4 linked regions of the Arabidopsis thaliana genome follow. The protein of the gene in region 1 interacts with the protein of each later gene in a pairwise test. Each region holds a gene or a part of one and is shown in the gene's direction. Other genes may lie near its edges.

Evidence for each region.
Region 2: the proteins of AT1G80890 (region 1) and BASS2 interact in a protein complementation assay, tested with the Arabidopsis thaliana proteins (one large-scale study listed by BioGRID).
Region 3: the proteins of AT1G80890 (region 1) and LUT1 interact in a protein complementation assay, tested with the Arabidopsis thaliana proteins (one large-scale study listed by BioGRID).
Region 4: the proteins of AT1G80890 (region 1) and G1 interact in a protein complementation assay, tested with the Arabidopsis thaliana proteins (one large-scale study listed by BioGRID).

The regions. Positions count from the first base shown.
Region 1 is NC_003070.9:30,395,549-30,398,738, forward strand, and holds AT1G80890 (GAG1At protein), read left to right. Parts: upstream 1-1,579; 5' UTR 1,580-1,662; coding exon 1,663-1,813; exon of another isoform or gene 1,814-2,235; coding exon 2,236-2,327; 3' UTR 2,328-2,662; downstream 2,663-3,190. Other genes in the region: AT1G80880 (Tetratricopeptide repeat (TPR)-like superfamily protein), read right to left, coding at 1-675, 781-1,373; MGT1 (magnesium transporter 1), read right to left, coding at 2,741-2,971, 3,058-3,105.
Region 2 is NC_003071.7:11,474,206-11,480,080, reverse strand, and holds BASS2 (Sodium Bile acid symporter family), read left to right. Parts: upstream 1-1,938; 5' UTR 1,939-2,210; coding exon 2,211-2,313; intron 2,314-2,386; coding exon 2,387-2,489; intron 2,490-2,559; coding exon 2,560-2,677; intron 2,678-2,770; coding exon 2,771-2,812; intron 2,813-2,894; coding exon 2,895-3,008; intron 3,009-3,090; coding exon 3,091-3,153; intron 3,154-3,571; coding exon 3,572-3,699; intron 3,700-3,789; coding exon 3,790-3,871; intron 3,872-4,103; coding exon 4,104-4,155; intron 4,156-4,242; coding exon 4,243-4,340; intron 4,341-4,430; coding exon 4,431-4,589; intron 4,590-4,680; coding exon 4,681-4,770; intron 4,771-4,847; coding exon 4,848-4,925; 3' UTR 4,926-5,329; downstream 5,330-5,875.
Region 3 is NC_003074.8:19,691,100-19,698,095, forward strand, and holds LUT1 (Cytochrome P450 superfamily protein), read left to right. Parts: upstream 1-1,657; 5' UTR 1,658-1,712; coding exon 1,713-2,210; intron 2,211-2,359; coding exon 2,360-2,656; intron 2,657-2,745; coding exon 2,746-2,943; intron 2,944-3,032; coding exon 3,033-3,134; intron 3,135-3,232; coding exon 3,233-3,373; intron 3,374-3,442; coding exon 3,443-3,550; intron 3,551-3,711; coding exon 3,712-3,794; intron 3,795-3,891; coding exon 3,892-4,054; intron 4,055-4,149; coding exon 4,150-4,179; 3' UTR 4,180-4,592; coding exon of another isoform or gene 4,593-4,970; intron 4,971-5,079; coding exon of another isoform or gene 5,080-5,416; intron 5,417-5,524; coding exon of another isoform or gene 5,525-5,589; intron 5,590-5,956; coding exon of another isoform or gene 5,957-6,256; 3' UTR 6,257-6,443; downstream 6,444-6,996. Other genes in the region: VPS37-1 (Modifier of rudimentary (Mod(r)) protein), read right to left, coding at 83-129, 217-256, 687-774, 869-1,051, 1,378-1,391; AT3G53140 (O-methyltransferase family protein), read left to right, coding at 4,593-4,970, 5,080-5,416, 5,525-5,589, 5,957-6,256; UGT73D1 (UDP-glucosyl transferase 73D1), read right to left, coding at 6,637-6,996. UniProt on the Arabidopsis thaliana protein: Heme-containing cytochrome P450 involved in the biosynthesis of xanthophylls. Specific for epsilon- and beta-ring hydroxylation of alpha-carotene. Has only a low activity toward the beta-rings of beta-carotene.
Region 4 is NC_003074.8:19,209,000-19,212,544, reverse strand, and holds G1 (transmembrane protein G1P-related 1), read left to right. Parts: upstream 1-1,695; 5' UTR 1,696-1,881; coding exon 1,882-2,652; 3' UTR 2,653-3,030; downstream 3,031-3,545. Other genes in the region: ATG2 (metallopeptidase M24 family protein), read left to right, coding at 242-457, 543-679, 766-857, 919-1,119, 1,208-1,284. UniProt on the Arabidopsis thaliana protein: Heme-binding chaperone that may be involved in cytochrome c maturation in mitochondria.

The DNA.
Region 1 (3,190 bases):
ATCTTCATTTGGCCTAAAACCTCTAAAGTTTTCTCGAAATTTACAGCCTCAAGGAATGCATGAAATGTATCAACTGTTGGACTAAGGTTCTCACTAATCATGGTTGCCAATACATTCCTGGCTACGTCCAGCTTTCCAGCCTCACAAAGGGGGCGTATCATCGAGTTGTAGGTCACTGAATCTGGCTTTAATCCTTCCTCGTTCAACTTTTTCATAAGCTTCATAGCTTCATCAAAGCAATCCTCACGGGTCAACACATAAACCAAGGAATTGTAAACTTCAATCCCTGGAGCCAATCCCCGTTTCTTCATTTCATCGTATAGCCTGAGAGAATCAAAAAGGTTCCCAACTTTAGAGAAGCAAGAGATCATGTGACTGTAAGAGTCCTTGTTAGGCGTGATACAGTAATTCCCCATCTCTCGCCAAATCCTCTTTGCTTCAGTCACATCAGTCCAAATGTTACACCAACCATTAAGAATTACGTTGAATCCCTCAACATCCACCGGAAAGAGCTTTTTGCTTGCAAGCATGAACTCTTCAGCTTTTTCAATGTGGCCATGTCTACACAATGCACATAGCAATCCTTGAAATGCTTCATCATAAGGAGTGTGTTTAAACTTATCCATAATATCAAATGTCCGAATAGCTTGGCTAGTATCATTAGCAGCAGCATATCTACATCAACACCGTCACCAAGACAACCAATTCAATACCTAGCTAGTAAATCTTTCAATTTAGCACAACAAAAGAGAAACTTTTATCAAGAAGACGAAACCGAACCTGTCCATCATGAGAAACATGGCCTTTCTAGTATCCTTTGAAACATTAAACATATCACGGATCAAACACCAAGCAATGTTGAACTTTTGATGATTACCCAACACCCAGATCATCAAATCACAAGATTTCTGATCATCACAGCCGCGTTTCTCTCCCCATTTGAATGCTAGAAAGGCAAGCCTCCATTCATCTCTTAATTCCCAGATTAAGGAGTAGAAAGAATCATGATTTAGATCAAATGATGAGTCCTCCAGAGAAGCCATGGCATCCGCCTCTGACTCCAGCTCAGAGACCTGTCTGATTAAATCAATCAGACCCTTTTCTAACGGAGCCAATGCTGTTAAGTTGATATCAAATGTTTCGGAGATGGTTTTGGTGGAGAAGCGATTAGAAGAGGCAAAATGTGGGAGATAGCTTAAAACTTGAGAATGCACATGACCTGCTCGATGAAATGCTGAAGAGAAGGAATGATTTTGGGAAACTGAGCTCGAAAACGACGTCGACACTGCACGACGTAGCAGAGATTGATGCTGAACAATCCGCCATTGTGGCGTTCGCGCGAGTTTCCTACCAATGGCAACGATCGCGGCCATAGCGAGTGAGTGAGAAGGCTTAAATTAATACATTTCAAACATGGTCTTAATGGGATGAGGATATGAAGTTAATGGGGTCAAAAACGAATATATAGATAATATGGGGTCTAATATGGTAATAAACAAAGTAACACTAATATGAATGGGCCTAAATAGGGCCCATTTTAGATTTCTTTAAAAGATCCGAGAGAGAGAGGGATCTAATTCCTGATAAACCCTAGAAGAAGAAGAAGAAGAAGAAGAAGAAGAAGAAGAAGAAGAAGAAGAAGCAAAACCTGTGGAGATCGAGATGGGAAATGAGAGCAAGAGCAATTTGGGAGGAGGAGGAATTAGGGCAAAGATGGAGCACTATGTCTACAGTGGGGAGAAGAAGCACGTTTTGGCTGGGATCGGGATTATCTCCATCATCTTCGGAATCCCTTGGTATCTAATGAATCAAGGTTCGTTTTCTCTGGGCGATTTAGATTGAAATATATAAATAGATGTTTCTCTGTAGATTCCGAAATGGAAGAGGATGATGATATCAATAGCTGAAAGATTTAGAATCTAAAGTTTCTAACTTTATATTTCTTGGCAAATGCAATCAAGTGGTCGATCAAATAGAGTTTGATTATATGATAATGATGAGTCACAATGTTTATTCTGTTTGGATCATAATAGACTTGCATGATCACATTTTTTACCAAGTTTGTTTGCTTTTTCCCCTGATGATCACACATCGATTCAATTGCATAATCTCAATGGTTAAATATCTTATTTGCTATATGTGACATTTGGTAATATTCTCCTTGTTTTGTTCATTATATAGGCTAATTGTTTCTCTTATTGGCTTTTGTTGTTTGGTAAATCTGGTTTGTTTCAGGATCAAAGCATCGTTCTCACCAAGATTACTTGGAAAAAGCTGATAAAGCTCGAAAAGCTCGTCTCTCATCATCTTCATCCTCGGATAAGTAGTCATCTCCCCCCACTTGGATGGAGACTCTAGTCAACTACATTTTGTGAATGGATCCATACATCATCGTTTCCATGTCTATAAACTCAGCCATGTCTGTTCTAGAGTGTGGTTCAGTTCAGATATGTATCTTTACACTCTACACTTAGGTTTCTTTATCGAAGATATGTAAATTTGCGATAAGTTAAAGGATTCATCCTTTACGATACTGTTGTGTGAGCTGTGAGTTTCGACTAGGACAATCCATAAAGTGAAAGATCAAGATGAGTCTGGTATGGTTTGCTTAATAATCTTTCAGTAACCCAAAAAAAAAATACACGGGGTTTTATCTTGTAAAGGTCACAGGCGATTAATGTATAGATTTAAGCAACATAAACAGTAAAACAATCGTCTACGTGTCAGGGTAGTTATGTCTTCACAGAGGCATGAGTCTTCTACGTTTGTAGTACCAGAGGAATGCCAAAAATACAACAAGGCCACACACTCCAGTAATGGCTAAAACCCATTTGAAAGCACCAGGCTTTTCAAAGAAGTCTATCTCAAAATTCATCCCAAAGATCCCGGCTACAACCCCGAAGATGGCTACAACGAATGTGGCAGTAGTTAGCAGCAGCTCGAATTGGATCAGCTGATTCCGTACGTTATCCTGCAAATTCCAGAAATTTTCAGCAGATTCTTAAGGTTTTCTAAGCAAATAAGATATCTAAAAAAGATCAAGATTTCAAGGTATACCAATTGAATGTTGATGAAATCTTCGGTATCATCGATGTACTCCTTTAACTGAAGAGTAAAGAGAGTTGCAGGTGATTAAACCGCTTTTAAAAGCTGTTAAAACAAGATGATGAATGATCACAAAGGCGAGGTT
Region 2 (5,875 bases), on another chromosome or scaffold:
TTGGTCATAAAAGATAGATAAAGTTTTTAACGAATAATAACAAAATAATTAATAGAAATGGTAAAAAAAAATAACAGTATACAAGTAGATATTAGTCTCTCTCTCTCTTTTTTTTTGTCTTTCAACAAATTGTTATGTGATTACAAATAGTTTTTTCTTTTTGTTTTCAAGAAACAGAAAATAAAAAATAATGATATACGATGACGAAGTACGGGTCTGGCCTGTTTTGATCAAAATCAGATCTACTCTTTGTTAACATTAAGAGATTGATGACTAGCCATCGGATCCATTCTCTTTGGTTTCATGGCCGATCATAGCTGATCTATTTCTTTGAATTTTAAGCTAGCATTCTATTAATGCTTTTATTTCATTGGTCCTCTCTTGTTGTAATCTCCTTTCAAACTATGTAGATAATTTTTTGTTGAATAAAATTTAACATTCCAAATTTCCAACCAAAAATCTAATATCTTAAGGTCATTTTGTTTCCTCCCGAGACCTTTCTTCACTTTAGGAGGTATTGAGACTCAATTCATCAAGCATCTAATCTAACGAGACAAATGAAATAAAAGTTTGGTTGCGGGTTGATGACTTTTGAAAGATGTGACAGTCTTGTTCTTTTCCTAAAAACTAGGAGTGGATATATCGTAAAAGTGTCTTAAGATGCCAAAGCTGAGAGAGTGAGTGTTGAACAACCTGCGTTGAATCATTGTAGTTCAACTTGTTTATATCCAACAATATTCATAGAGAGACATAACCTTATGTCATTCCATTTAGTTTGTAGAAGTAGAGAAGATTCGAACATGCATCTTTAAATAAACGAAGAATGGGAATTTAAAGAGAATGCAAAGAAAGAAAAGTAGAGTAGAGGCCAAGAAACATAAACTAGATTATACATCTCTCGACGATTCTACTTATTATTTATCTCTTAAGAAATTTATGCATATCCCCCAACAAAACCAAAAACATAAGATTTTCAAATGTAAAAATGTCGATGAAACATACAAAATTTGGCAGTGAAAGAGTGAAAATCAGCTTCGTCGGCCAAAGATTTGTCTGTCGCCAACCAAAATATTAATATTAATGGTTACAAACAAAGTATGGGGGTTTCTTGGCTGGGGCATGGTGCTAATCATTATCCAGAAAATTCAAACAAACTGTCACAGAACTCAGCACTCACATTTAATGAAAACTTTGTATTTGTTCAGTCGAATAAATTAACGTGTAGTGTTTCAAAATGTGTTAAATCAATACTTCATCATGTGATTGTCTTGATTTTATGAGTTTATCTAACTAATAAAGCTATTTTCACAGTAAAAATAGAGGCAAATCATTTGGTGGAAATAGACCATATTTTCAGCATATTTCTACATCTTGATTGACTTTTCCAACATCAATAAATATGTTTTTGCAGCACAGTTTTCAAATATAGAATTTCTGTGGTATGAACCATAGTGAATATGTGCATCTTATCCATATATAAACTAAAATGTATAAAAATATACAATCTTGTTTAACAATACAATCAGACTGTAAACAAAAAAAATTCAATAGATATGATTGATTAATACATGTGAAACTTAGGCATACGACTTTTGAGCGAACCGAACCGTTCGGTTTGGATAATTGGTTTTTCGAGTATCTAGTTAGGAGATAAGACTGCCAAATTTAACCGAACAAAAATTCGGTTTGGATCGGTTCAGTTATCAGTTAACTCAGTTCGGTAATGTGTCTCAAATCCATACAAAAATTTGGTTTGTATAGCAATTTTAAAGAATTTTGGTATTAGTTTATAAAATTGGATATGATTTGTTTATATTAGTTTAAAAAATTAGAAAAAATGGTTAAAAGATTGTTCGATTAACCGTACCTAACCAATAGGAAAAGTTACCGATCGGACCACTTCTATTAATCGACTGGTTAACCGAACACTCAAATCTCAATTAGGTTCTGTTCGAAAACACATCGGAAATGACGACAGGAAAAAAAAAAAAAAACACACACACATCGACGTAGTTGTAGTAGAATCGATCCAAAAATGTTAAGTAGATATTTTCCAGATAGGATTGTTGATGAAAGGGGCAGATGAAGAATGTGTGGCTCTCCTCTCTTTCACAACACTCCACAAAACCCTTTGTCTCCTCCTCATTTGGAGATGTCACTAACTCATCTTCTCTGATTCACCAACATCCTAAAACCCTTTTGATCAAAACATGGCTTCCATTTCCAGAATCTTACCAACAGATGGCAGATTAAGTCAATGCAGAATCAACACCTCGTGGGTTCCTTCTACAACCAGAACTCAAACTCACTTAGGTATCTATCCTTTATACTTCTCTGGTTTCAGATTTCTAAGAGTCAATTTGCTGAATCATATATTTTTCTTCAGATTTTCCCAAGTTAGTTTCTGTTAGTAACTCTGGGATAAGTTTGAGGATTCAGAATAGTAAACCTATTAGCCCTGTCTTTGCTCTTGAAGCAACTTCCTCCAGGTATTGTAATTTGGTGAATGTGTAAACAAGTTTAAGGATTTGGGTTTATTAAAAATTGTAATTTTTACAGGAGGGTTGTTTGCAAAGCTGCTGCTGGTGTGTCAGGTGACTTACCTGAGAGTACTCCTAAGGAACTTAGTCAGTATGAGAAGATTATTGAGCTTTTGACAACCCTTTTTCCACTTTGGGTACTTATGCTATACCTTTCTTTGATGAAGTTTGAAACTTTTTGTGAGTTTGATAACTGATATGGAGCAATGTGGTTTTTGTTTGTTGTGCAGGTTATTTTGGGAACACTTGTTGGCATCTTCAAGCCATCCTTGGTATGCTTTTTATGCTTCTTTGTTATTGTTTATTTACTGTAGCAATCTATGTTTTTGGGGCTTATAGATTTAAGTTTTGTAGGTTACATGGTTGGAAACAGATCTCTTTACTCTAGGTCTTGGATTTCTTATGCTTTCCATGGGTTTGACTCTTACGTTTGAAGATTTCAGAAGATGTTTACGTAATCCATGGACGGTGAGAGCCAATGAACACTGGTGTGTTTTTTCTATCTGTTAGATACAGTACCTGTTTAACGTTTAGAGTCTTTCTCCTGCAGGTGGGTGTTGGTTTTCTTGCTCAATATATGATCAAGCCAATTCTAGGTTTTCTCATTGCAATGGTATGTTTCCACTAATGTCTATCACATTTACTTCTATTTGCTTCTCTGAAATGGATGCTTATGCAATATTCTATTTTGTTTAAGATATTGGTTCTCTTCGTCCGTTTTTACTTCTATGGGCTGTATACGCTTTAGCCAAATCAAATGTTGATTGGAATATTCTTTCTTTGATTAACTTAGATCCAAGAGTCGTTGCATGTCCAAACATCACTTTTTCTTGAAACGTTTGAATCAAATATTTGCTTTCTAGTTACTGTAGAAACAATTCCTGGCATACTCACTTACTCCTTGAGGGATTTCTCTTGTAGAGAGGATTGATATGGACATATGCTATGTGCATTTGGAAACACTACATTTGGTTAACATTAATTGTTGAGCAGCCAACTAATACAAACTTTTTCTGTGTGTTTTATTTTAGACTCTTAAGCTTTCGGCACCTCTTGCGACTGGCCTTATCCTAGTCTCATGCTGCCCTGGAGGACAGGCGTCAAACGTTGCTACTTACATTTCCAAGGGGAATGTAGCGCTCTCTGTACTCATGACAACGTAATCCTTCTATTTTCACTTCTTTCTCTTTTCGTTCTTTAATTTTATTGGTCAGATTTCATATACATTATCTGTTCTTTAATTTATTAGGTGTTCAACCATTGGGGCTATTATAATGACTCCTCTTCTTACTAAGCTTCTTGCTGGTCAGCTTGTTCCCGTTGACGCTGCTGTGAGTTTTCTCTATAACTATTTTGAATCGTTTCATTCAAAATTGCATTGATAAGATACATTTCTTTTTATGTATGAAATATAAGATACATTTCACTTAGCTAAAATATGAATAATCATGGTTCAGTAAAAGTTATTGAATGATTTAAAGTAGAATGAAGCGCAAGAACTCTATTAGAATATAGTTGCAGCCCTCCACAACGAAAGCTTATGGATCCATTTTTTTACGTCAGGGACTTGCTCTTAGTACGTTCCAAGTAGTGTTGGTTCCTACCATAATTGGAGGTAAGTATGGTGCTACGTGTTTCCGGAAAAATGAATTTGTGCTTATATATCCTTAGGGACTAATGTCTTTTTCTGCATTGTGTGCAGTTCTGGCAAATGAGTTCTTTCCTAAATTTACGTCTAAGATCATAACAGTGACGCCTCTAATCGGAGTCATTCTGACTACTCTGCTCTGTGCCAGCCCTGTAAGTTCATATATCCAGATATATATATTTTTTTTATTGAATTTTGAGACTGGAATTGGTATTGATTACTACCTTATCTCTTCTGAAAAGATTGGACAAGTTGCAGATGTTTTGAAAACCCAAGGAGCTCAACTTATACTCCCGGTGGCACTCCTTCATGCTGCAGCCTTTGCTATTGGCTATTGGATTTCAAAGTTTTCTTTCGGCGAGTCCACTTCGCGTACCATTTCTATAGAATGTGGAATGCAAGTAAGTTACTTTCTCCTATACCGTAGATATACATTGCCGTTTGCTTTACTAAGGCTTCTTTTTGAAAATCTGTGTACTTTGCAAACCGCAGAGTTCAGCGCTCGGGTTCTTGCTTGCACAAAAGCATTTCACAAACCCTCTAGTTGCTGTTCCTTCTGCAGTCAGTGTTGTCTGTATGGCGGTAAGTTTTCATAGCCATTTCACTAAAGTTCACATGCAAATTCCTTAAGTTTAATTATGTTCAATGGCATTCTGCAGCTTGGCGGGAGCGGCCTGGCCGTGTTCTGGAGAAACCTACCGATTCCGGCAGATGACAAGGATGACTTCAAAGAGTAAATGAAGTAGGAAAGGCGGTTTGCATCTTCTCCAAACGATGTGATTGTTTTGTTGTAATGTTAGTAAACATTACAAAATTTGTGTTGAAAAACATGAAACAAAATGTGTTTAAGAGACATAGAAACAAGGGCGTGCATGATGACAACTTTGTGGTCAACCTTTTTTTTATTTCTCAATTAATGGACAAATCTTTTTTGGCACACCTTCTCCAAATTTTGAATCTAAGTTTCAGATTGGGATTAGCGTTGTTCCCGGAATCCTGTCTACTCTCACAATGCACTCCCTCATTTCCAGCCATGACTTCTCTTAGCTCATATACGTCTTTTGTCAGCAATGATAAGTTTTGATGTTTTTAGCATTAGGTGGTTTTGGTGAATTTTCATTTTAAATTAGATTTGAGTGTTTCCTTTTCTGATGAAAACACAACTTCCAACAATTAACATAAGTAAACATGTAAAGTTGATTGGAATGTGGCCAGTTGATCTCGGTTTCAATAAGGTGAAGAGTCTCATTGTATTTTGGTCTTTACATGATTGGAATAGTACTATGCTTCTGGAGTTCTGGTCTCAGTGTATAAATGGTGGTAAAAAATGTTTTCAGTTTACAGTAAAAAATGTTTAGCTATATTTTAACATTTCTTTTACTGTAGAATGTTTCCCATATAGATTTTCTGTTTTTTTTTTAATTAGTAATATTTTTAGTTTTCATATTTTTTTAATATACGTGCTAATTCATTTGTTGAAAGAGCCAAAGAAATAGTAATCTAGACAATTATACATTTTGACACACGTTTAATCCGCGTTAAAGGAACAGAAGAATTGATGATGATTGCATTTGCACCGGAGAGACACCGAATCAAAAATGGCCTTTAGCCTTTAACCCTCTCAAACAAAGTCGTCACACTGTAAAAACAACAGCAACAACAACAACACACAAATTCACGACTCTTT
Region 3 (6,996 bases), on another chromosome or scaffold:
AAGTAAAGACTGGTAAATCAGAGATATCGAAAAGGTATAACATGGTAAAACTGAACAAGAAAAGTTGGTTCTTGATACACACTTGGTTTCTGAGCTCCATTATCTGTGGCTCCTTCTCCAAGTTGTCTCCTGTTACATTTGATCAAATGGAAAGTTCTAGATTTCTGGATTGAACTAAAGTTTCCTGTAGAATTACATGAACCATAGAGTACTTACTAGCTAGCTGCAATGTTTCTCTACGGAGCTCATCTTTGATCTGACGGACAGAAACAAATCACGAAAAAATTAACGTCCAGAGACTATAACAAGGAACCAGAAAGCTGATGACATGATACAGGCTTTATCAAACAATATCAATGTATAGACTTGAAAGAGCACTAATGAATTATATCAACACAGAACTAAAGAAGCTACATATTCTTAGAGCTACAGATAAGACCCTCGGTTATCCAGAAACAACCGACTGTTTTAGAGACTATAACAAAGAACCAGAAAGCTCTAATTACTGGCAACATGTAGAAGATGACGCCATGATAAAGGCTTCCTCAAACAATATCAATGTATATACTTGAAAGAGCACCAATGAATAATATCAACACATAACTAACGAAGCTCCATTCTTAGGACTACAATTAATAGTAATACTCTTAGCTATCCAGAAACAACTGACTGTTTTAGAGACTTACATTATTCTGGACTTTGACCTGGTCAAGAGAGAGCAGAAATTGCTGATACGCATCTTTGTCAGAGAGAAGCTTCCTGAGTTCATCCACGCTACAGAAAAGTATACACTATTCAAAAAGAAGACATACAAAAAAAACGCACACTCGAGAGAAGGATAACAAACAAACAAACAAAAAGAGCAAACCTTTTGTCTTTCAAGAAGACGATAATGCCAGCTGCTTCACCCGGTGATACTTGTGCTGAAATCTGACCTGAACTTTGAGGCCGGGATGAGCTTGGCGAGCTAACTAAAGAAGGCGAGTACCATGGCGACTGTGAAGAAGCTTCCTGAGGACGAGATTGCCCTTGTTGTTGGTCTTTTGATCCCCTTCACGTACACAACAAAAAAAAGAAACATCATCAACTAACTATCTCAGCTTCCAAGTTAATATAATACATCACCTCATAAACTTGAAAGGTGCATTTATACAGCACATCATTGTAAACCTAATATCAGTAACTATGAACCCTAAATCAGTAGCTGAGCAAAATCTACACTTGTCAATTCACCTCAAAAACCTCAAATATATCATTATAGCTCAACAAACTACACAACAACAAGATTTCCTTAATCGCTAACAGACCTAATGTCTGGATCACGCAATTTCATCAATAACATATGAATCAGATGGCAAAAAATTCGCAAAATCATACCAGAAATTGAACATCGTTTCTAGAATTCGCCGACTAACGAAAGGAATTGACTTTTTCTTGTTCTCTTGTACTTCTTCTTCCTACCAGATCGACAAAATTTAACAACTTTACAGAAACAGAGTTTACAGAGTTTCAAAGAAAATTCGATCTTCTCTGTTTCGTTTCAGATTTTGCTACTTGCTTTTAAAAGGCCCAAATACGAGGAGGCCCATATTAAGTTTTGATTAACAAAACGTAGTCGTTTTATGCATCGTCGTCCTTATCCACGCGTAACGGTTCGCGTTTCTACACAGAGTCAAATATTTCTGCACGGAAGCTTCGAAAAGAGGTCATCAATGGAGTCTTCACTCTTTTCTCCATCTTCCTCTTCTTACTCTTCTCTCTTCACTGCAAAACCTACGCGTCTTTTATCACCAAAACCCAAATTCACATTCTCCATCAGATCCTCCATTGAGAAACCCAAACCCAAACTCGAGACCAATTCATCGAAATCCCAATCATGGGTCAGTCCCGATTGGCTCACAACACTCACTCGTACCCTTTCCTCAGGAAAAAACGACGAGTCAGGTATACCAATCGCGAACGCGAAGCTCGACGATGTCGCTGATCTCCTCGGAGGTGCTCTCTTCTTACCTCTCTACAAATGGATGAATGAGTACGGACCCATTTACCGTCTCGCTGCTGGTCCTCGTAATTTCGTAATTGTGAGCGACCCAGCGATAGCTAAACATGTTTTGAGGAATTATCCAAAGTACGCTAAAGGCTTAGTCGCTGAAGTCTCTGAATTTCTATTTGGTTCGGGTTTCGCTATCGCTGAAGGACCTCTTTGGACAGTAATTTCATCTCCTCCTATCTCAATTTTGAAGTTTTTGGAATTGTGGAAGTAATGTGTGACTGTCTTGTATGATAAGTAACTCTAATTTTAGGGTTTAGATTCCAATCTTCTCTATTGGGCTTAGCTGAAGTCTGATTTTTTACATAGGCGAGGCGTAGAGCGGTGGTTCCATCGCTTCACAGGAGGTATTTGTCTGTGATTGTGGAGAGAGTATTCTGCAAATGTGCAGAGAGGCTTGTTGAGAAGTTGCAGCCTTATGCAGAAGACGGAAGTGCTGTGAATATGGAAGCGAAGTTCTCTCAGATGACACTTGATGTCATTGGGTTGTCTCTTTTTAACTACAATTTCGATTCTTTGACTACTGATAGTCCTGTCATTGAAGCTGTTTACACTGCTCTTAAAGAAGCTGAGCTTCGTTCTACTGATCTTCTGCCATATTGGAAGGCAAGTTTCCTGTGTTTTTTCTGTGGTTTGTTGATTGTGTGGAACAATTGGATTCTTGTTAATTGAGAGGGTTTGGTTGTTTTTTTCAGATCGATGCATTGTGTAAGATAGTCCCGAGACAGGTGAAAGCTGAAAAGGCTGTAACTTTGATAAGGGAAACTGTTGAAGACCTTATTGCTAAGTGTAAAGAAATTGTCGAAAGAGAAGGCGAAAGAATCAATGATGAGGAGTATGTAAATGATGCTGACCCAAGTATCCTGCGTTTCTTGCTTGCAAGCAGAGAAGAGGTTTAAACTTTTTTCCTTAAGTTTATAAGCAAATTTGGCCTTTCATTATCGCATAATCGAAGCTGATGTTGCATTGTGAGGGTTTTCAGGTATCAAGTGTGCAGTTACGGGATGATCTTCTCTCAATGCTCGTAGCGGGTCATGAAACCACTGGATCTGTCCTCACTTGGACACTTTATCTCCTAAGTAAGGTACCTTAATGTATCTTCTACTTTGCTATGCTAGAGAATTTACTTGGATGGGAGCTTCTCTGTTCTCATTTACCTCTTCAAATTCTCTATGTTCATAGAACTCATCTGCATTAAGGAAAGCACAAGAAGAAGTAGACAGAGTGTTAGAAGGAAGAAACCCGGCTTTCGAGGATATAAAGGAGTTGAAGTACATCACTCGTTGTATAAACGAGTCAATGCGTCTCTATCCTCATCCTCCTGTAAGCAATCAAGCTCATCTCTCTAATTATTCATGAACTAAATTTTCTGATTGATTTGTTTCCTGGTAGGTCTTGATAAGAAGAGCTCAAGTTCCTGACATTCTTCCTGGGAACTATAAGGTCAATACCGGACAAGACATTATGATTTCAGTCTATAACATCCATCGTTCTTCCGAGGTACAGTTCTCTTCCTTCTCTCGTCCATAGTATAACATAGGGGAGCCTAATCCTTCTCTTCAATGATCTTTGTGTGGTTCGGATATCTAACCGGAGTGGACATTCCTAGTATTACATTCATGCCCACATTTCTTATGTGTTTGTTGTTTGTTATTCCAAAGGTATGGGAAAAAGCTGAGGAATTTCTGCCTGAACGATTCGACATAGATGGCGCAATCCCTAACGAAACAAACACTGATTTCAAGTAAACTCAGTAGAACACATCTTTTGACACAAACTACTGAATCAAGATTAGTGGTTTTGATTAGGGAATTTAAAAGATGATTTTCTTTTTTCACCAGATTCATCCCATTCAGTGGAGGGCCTAGAAAATGTGTAGGCGATCAGTTTGCATTGATGGAGGCAATTGTGGCACTCGCGGTGTTTCTTCAGCGGTTAAACGTTGAGCTGGTTCCTGATCAGACCATTAGCATGACCACAGGAGCAACCATACACACCACCAATGTATGCCAATGTTCTCACACTCGAGAGATTAATGAGAGTGTCTGTTTTGTTTAGAATGATTCCAATTTCTCTAATGCTGATATTTTCAATTTCAGGGATTGTATATGAAGGTGAGCCAAAGGTAAAAACCAGAATTTATGTTTTCATGATAATTGATTGGTGTGAATGGACTTGTTTCATAGTACTCTTGAGAAATAACCACAAAAAAATGAATTATGGAAAATAGTTGTACCATCGGAAATGTGAATTTTGAACAGTGAGATGCTAGTACCATTAAAGTTTGGTAATTGTGTTATCATTTCAAATCAAACTTTCATACAGCTTGTGTTTGTTCTCCATTTTTCAGTAATTACGAAAATCAAAATTTTATTTTTTTTTGAATTTCTAAATAATAGACTAAGGTCTAAAACCATCCCATTCCATATGGACCACACGTAACATTAACCTTAAAAACCATATAAAACCATATAAAACCAATACTAGTGGGTTCTATAGCGATGTGTAGTTTCACTTTCACGTACGAGGAAGATTAAAAAAAATGGAGAACGAAAGCTCAGAGAGTAGAAACAGAGCTCGTCTTGCCATTATGGAGCTTGCTAACATGATTAGCGTTCCCATGTCTCTCAATGCCGCCGTGCGACTAGGCATTGCCGACGCCATTTGGAACGGCGGAGCCAATTCTCCTCTCTCTGCCGCCGAGATCCTCCCTCGCCTCCACCTACCATCTCACACTACCATTGGTGGCGACCCCGAGAATCTTCAGCGTATACTTCGGATGCTCACCAGCTACGGTGTCTTCTCCGAACACCTTGTTGGATCCATTGAGAGGAAATACTCTCTTACGGACGTCGGAAAAACTCTTGTAACCGACTCCGGCGGCCTCTCTTACGCTGCCTACGTCCTCCAACATCACCAGGTTTATGACTCATTTTCATTTTCCAAAATTGGAGTGATATATTAAAGGACTAATGATGGTATAATAAACTAATGTCTAAAACTTGTTGTGAAAATGATATATATTACAGGAGGCGTTGATGCGAGCATGGCCACTAGTTCACACGGCAGTGGTGGAGCCGGAGACAGAGCCGTACGTGAAAGCAAACGGCGAGGCGGCATACGCTCAGTATGGGAAAAGTGAGGAGATGAATGGTCTAATGCAAAAGGCAATGTCTGGCGTATCTGTACCGTTCATGAAAGCTATATTAGACGGCTACGATGGGTTTAAATCAGTGGATATTTTGGTTGACGTAGGAGGTAGTGCAGGGGATTGTCTGCGTATGATCCTTCAACAATTTCCTAACGTCCGTGAAGGGATTAATTTCGATTTACCTGAAGTTGTTGCCAAAGCCCCCAATATTCCTGGTGAGATTTTGTATTTATGATATATTGTACGTACGTTATTTTCTGAAAGTAAAAAGCTATTTTTAGTAATGTACGGAGTAATAATGGATGATATATTGTATGGTTTAGGAGTGACTCACGTGGGTGGGGATATGTTCCAATCAGTTCCTAGCGCTGACGCTATCTTCATGAAGGTTTGTTGTAACATTATTGTCTGTCACGAGAATACACCTACTAACATTTTTGCTAATAGGACGAATTCTAGTTTCTGTATATAGTTTTAATGTTTAGTGATATAGGTATAAATTTATAAGTCGCTTCGGACAATATGTTTGGTAGTATATAGTCTTAGTTATCGTTAGATCATGCGACTGGTCACTTTCATTTATTTATGATCATTTAAATATTGATTATACATTTCTCAAACCAAAAACTTGTGATCTGTTAGACCATGGATAGGGATCTCATGTTTGTTGAAAGAACAACACAAACAAATACACACATTTTTTGCTTCTCTGGTCCCAAATTAATATCTTGTAATATTGTTGTTTGAGTGTAAAGTGGGTGTTAACGACATGGACGGATGAAGAATGCAAGCAGATAATGAAGAATTGCTACAACGCGTTACCAGTTGGAGGAAAGCTGATTGCGTGTGAGCCGGTCTTGCCTAAGGAAACCGATGAAAGTCACCGGACTCGTGCCTTGTTAGAAGGTGACATCTTTGTCATGACCATCTATAGAACCAAAGGTAAGCATAGAACCGAAGAAGAGTTTATAGAGCTTGGTCTCTCCGCGGGATTCCCTACTTTTCGACCTTTCTACATTGATTACTTCTACACCATCTTAGAGTTTCAGAAGTAATATTCAAGCATTTTTCTTCTCATATTTCTAAAAGCTTCAAAATAATGAATCAAAAGACCTCTTTGTTAATTGAGTTGAGATATCTAGTGAAGACATTAATATTTTCATCAAGATGTAATAATCTAAAGTCTATATTCTAAGTGCATCCTTAAAAGGCATTTTCCATATATATAAGTTTCATCTTTCGAGAAAAAGGAAAAAAGACTCTTTAAGTGATGATTTCAAGAGTATTTCTAAATCACTCATTAGGCTAAGAGAAGAGTTCGAAAGTATACATATTATGCACATTATATCTATATGAATTTTTCTTCTTTGGCAAAAAGAAAAATCGTTTGGTGTTATTCTTATAAATCTTATGTCAACTTCTACATTCGATTTTTCTACACGAGACTCAATTGCTCCAAAACATCTTGGATTAAAATTGAAACGTTAATACTCGAAGATCCCTTTTCTTCCACAGCCTTTTTCGCCATTACTGCAAGTTCTTGAATACGTCTCCTTCGTCTCACGAATTCATTATCATCATCATTTTCGTCTACACGTTGACAATCTTGGTCCATCAAAAGCTTTATAGCTTTCACAACACTCGGTTTCTTGACCAACACTCCAAGTCTCTCCTCGTCTCCCCATCTCACCGGAATCTCCACCCCAACCCTAACCCCGATGTTCAAAACCTCCACGATGAGTTTCTCATTGAGAAATTGTTCAGCGAACAACGGCCATGTGATCATTGGTACACC
Region 4 (3,545 bases), on another chromosome or scaffold:
CCTCTCTTGGTCTTGCACGATGCTTTTTTTTTTTAGCGGACTTCAAATGTAAATTGTTTTGGGAAAAGATTTCTGGATGAAGACCGTAATTGTTATGGATTCGCATCCAAATGAGGCCGTAGTTACTCTGATGTGGGAAAGTTCTTTAAAATAAAGTTTCTTGCTACGAGTTTGTAGTTTCTTGTTTAGTACTACAACATATTGCAATCAAGACATTGATATTCTGTTTTTCTTATCGCAGAACACTGATGTAACTGAAGCTATTCAGAAGGTAGCTGCAGCTTATGACTGCAAAATTGTTGAAGGTGTTCTTTCCCACCAGCTGAAACAGCATGTGATAGATGGAAACAAGGTTGTGCTTAGTGTATCCAGCCCTGAAACAACTGTTGACGAAGTGGAATTTGAAGAGAATGAAGTCTATGCAATAGATATTGTGGCAAGTACTGGTGATGGCAAGGTAATTTCTTTTGTTTATCGCATCCCGATCACTATTGGTGAACCTTTGTCTATTGCCATTGTTCTCACAATCTTTGACTTTGCAGCCAAAGCTATTAGACGAGAAGCAAACAACTATTTACAAGAAAGATGAAAGTGTTAACTATCAGTTGAAGATGAAGGCCTCCAGATTCATAATCAGCGAAATTAAACAGAACTTCCCCCGTATGCCATTCACTGCAAGGTGTCTTTTGTACCTTCTGAAGCATTTTATATTCCTTAAACTATTATCTCACTTGCTAACGTTACCTGAGAGTATTATCAATACAGGTCACTGGAGGAGAAAAGGGCACGGCTTGGACTTGTGGAGTGTGTGAACCATGGTCATTTGCAACCATATCCTGTTCTTTACGAGAAGCCTGGTAAGGATGATGAAAGGGTTTTGAATCTATAAACCTCTTTTATCTGAATCTTGATATCAAGGCTCATGTCGTTTTGGTTTTCTACCAGGGGATTTTGTTGCTCAGATTAAGTTCACAGTTTTGCTGATGCCAAATGGATCAGATAGGATCACTTCACATACACTTCAGGAACTTCCTAAAAAGACCATCGAAGACCCTGAGATCAAAGGGTGGTTAGCTTTGGGCATCAAGAAGAAGAAAGGTGGTGGAAAGAAGAAGAAAGGTAAGAACTTAAAATAAATTTCCAGACTTTTACCTTATATGACGTGATCCACATGTTGATTAAAAAGGTTCAATTTGGTGTTTTGCAGCCCAAAAGGCGGGAGAGAAAGGAGAGGCTTCAACAGAGGCTGAGCCAATGGACGCAAGTAGTAATGCTCAAGAATGAGTAGGAAGATTTGTCTTTGTTTCTTTTAAAGAATTTTTGAAACTTGAGGTACCTCTTTCGTTGTATGTTTGGGTTTCAAGAGAGTCTCTTCTTAAACAAAAAAAAACAAACAATAGTTTACCACCTTTGTGCATATTTTTGCACAAAGCACTTTTCATCATCATTTCTTTGCTTGTCCTAATCTTATCTCATTCTCTAATCAAAAATACTTATCTGGTTTCAGGCTATAACAATAACTCTGTTTAGAAACACTTGTTACCAACAAACTACTCTTTGAATGTGTTTACGTGGTAAGGATTTGATCCCACAGAAGAGAAATATTTGTGACAGAAGAAAAAAACTCAGCTCTTCAATAATCGAAGCTTATACAGATTTTTGGATTGGTTGATTTTGAGATTGTAACGAATAGTAATCAGAATTTCACTTAAGAAATTGTGATTGAACCCTCTAAACCACAGAGAGGGTTCTTGACGTGGTCCATAGTTCTTCAGTGGGGCGGCTTGTGGCTTCTTTTTCATTTTTCCAGAAAACCCCATAAACCTCTCGCTCTCGGGAATTTGATTGATTCCCACGAGGAAAAATCAATCTTCCCGGAAAATGGCAGCTAGGTTATTGTTCCGTCGAAGTTCTCAAATCCTCCGATCAATTCAACGAAATCCTCAAATCTCATCGTCATTCGAATCACCACCTTGCCCGATTTTTCACTCATTGACCACCGCCTCACCAGATCCATCGCGATTATCATCCTTAACCTTCCTCCGATCTCTCTCCATCGCTCGTCGCGGTCCAACACGTCCTAAGAAAATCGATATCGGAGCCAAAGCGCGTCAGATGCAGAATCGCCGTTTATGGACCTACGCGCTAACCTTCAGCTGCATCGCCGGATTCGTAGTTATCGTCCTTAACCAATTTCAGGATCAGCTTGTCTTCTACCTAACGCCATCAGACGCTATGGAGAAATTCGCAGAGAATCCAACAAAGAACAAATTCAGACTCGGTGGTTTGGTTCTAGAAGGTAGCGTTGCGCAGCCGGCGGCGTCACAGGAGATGGAGTTTGTGATCACTGATCTGATCACTGATATTTTGGTTAGGTATAAAGGATCTTTGCCGGATCTGTTTAGGGAAGGTCATTCAGTTGTGGTTGAAGGATTCATTAAGCCGTATACAGATGAAGTAAGGAAGGAAGTTTCTACAAAACCTATTTCGAAGAAAGCTAGGAACCTCGATTGTTTCTTCTCGGCGACTGAAGTTTTGGCTAAGCATGATGAGAAGTATATGCCACAGGAAGTTGCGGCGGCGATTGAGAAGAATAAGAAAATTATTGAAGCGGCGGCGACTGAACAAGCTGCTGAAGTTGCGGCTTCTTAGATTGGTATAAACTTCATTCTTTTTAAGTTAATCAAAATTTTCCCCAAGTTCGAGCTTTTGGTGAGTATTGTTCATCTTATAAGGTTATATTTGATTATAGTTTCTGGAAAAGAGTAGGAAGATTGGAATGTTATATTCCTGGAAAACAGAGATTTGATTTTTGAGTCTATTTGAGAATTAAGTGGAGAAATGTGATACACTATACAATAGCTTTGTTTGATTCCACAAAGCTATAAGCTAATCTACTTTCTTGTTGTGTTGATCAAATAAAGAACACTTTGACGAGGGATCAAATATGCTGCTTGATTCATTGTGTTGTTGGATGTTTTGTTTGTTGTTGATGTGCACACAGATTAGAGAAGCTATGTTTTGTTGCTGCACACAGATTAGATTGATCTAGTGAATCTTATTAGCTTCATCAGGTCGTGGGTATATAATTGTAAACGTATCACCAAAGTTGTAGCTTGTGTGACCTTATTCTTATCATGACTAGGTACTATAGCCAAAAGAGTTGAACATACAGGTCTTTCAGAGCTTCCTCTTAGTTGTTCTGGAGGTTCCAAGCTCTTTCTTTGTTGTTTTATAAATATGGGTTGAGCTTGTTGACAATCTTGAAGATGGTCATGCATTCCTTTTATGCATCTTATGTTTCAACTAGGCAATTCTGGCCCTGGAGATTTCAAGTTTGTACTTTCTGAGTCGATTAGGTGCCTAGTTTTTGCCTCTAGAATCATGGCATTGGCTTCTGTTTTGGCACTTCTCTTAGGCTTGTTGGTTGATAACCAACTACTAGTCTACTAATGTAGCTGTAGTTTGAAGTGTTCCGCAGTTACGCTATTGCTTTTGCTTTTTTTAAGTGCATCTTTATATATGCATCAGTCTCTCATTGTATA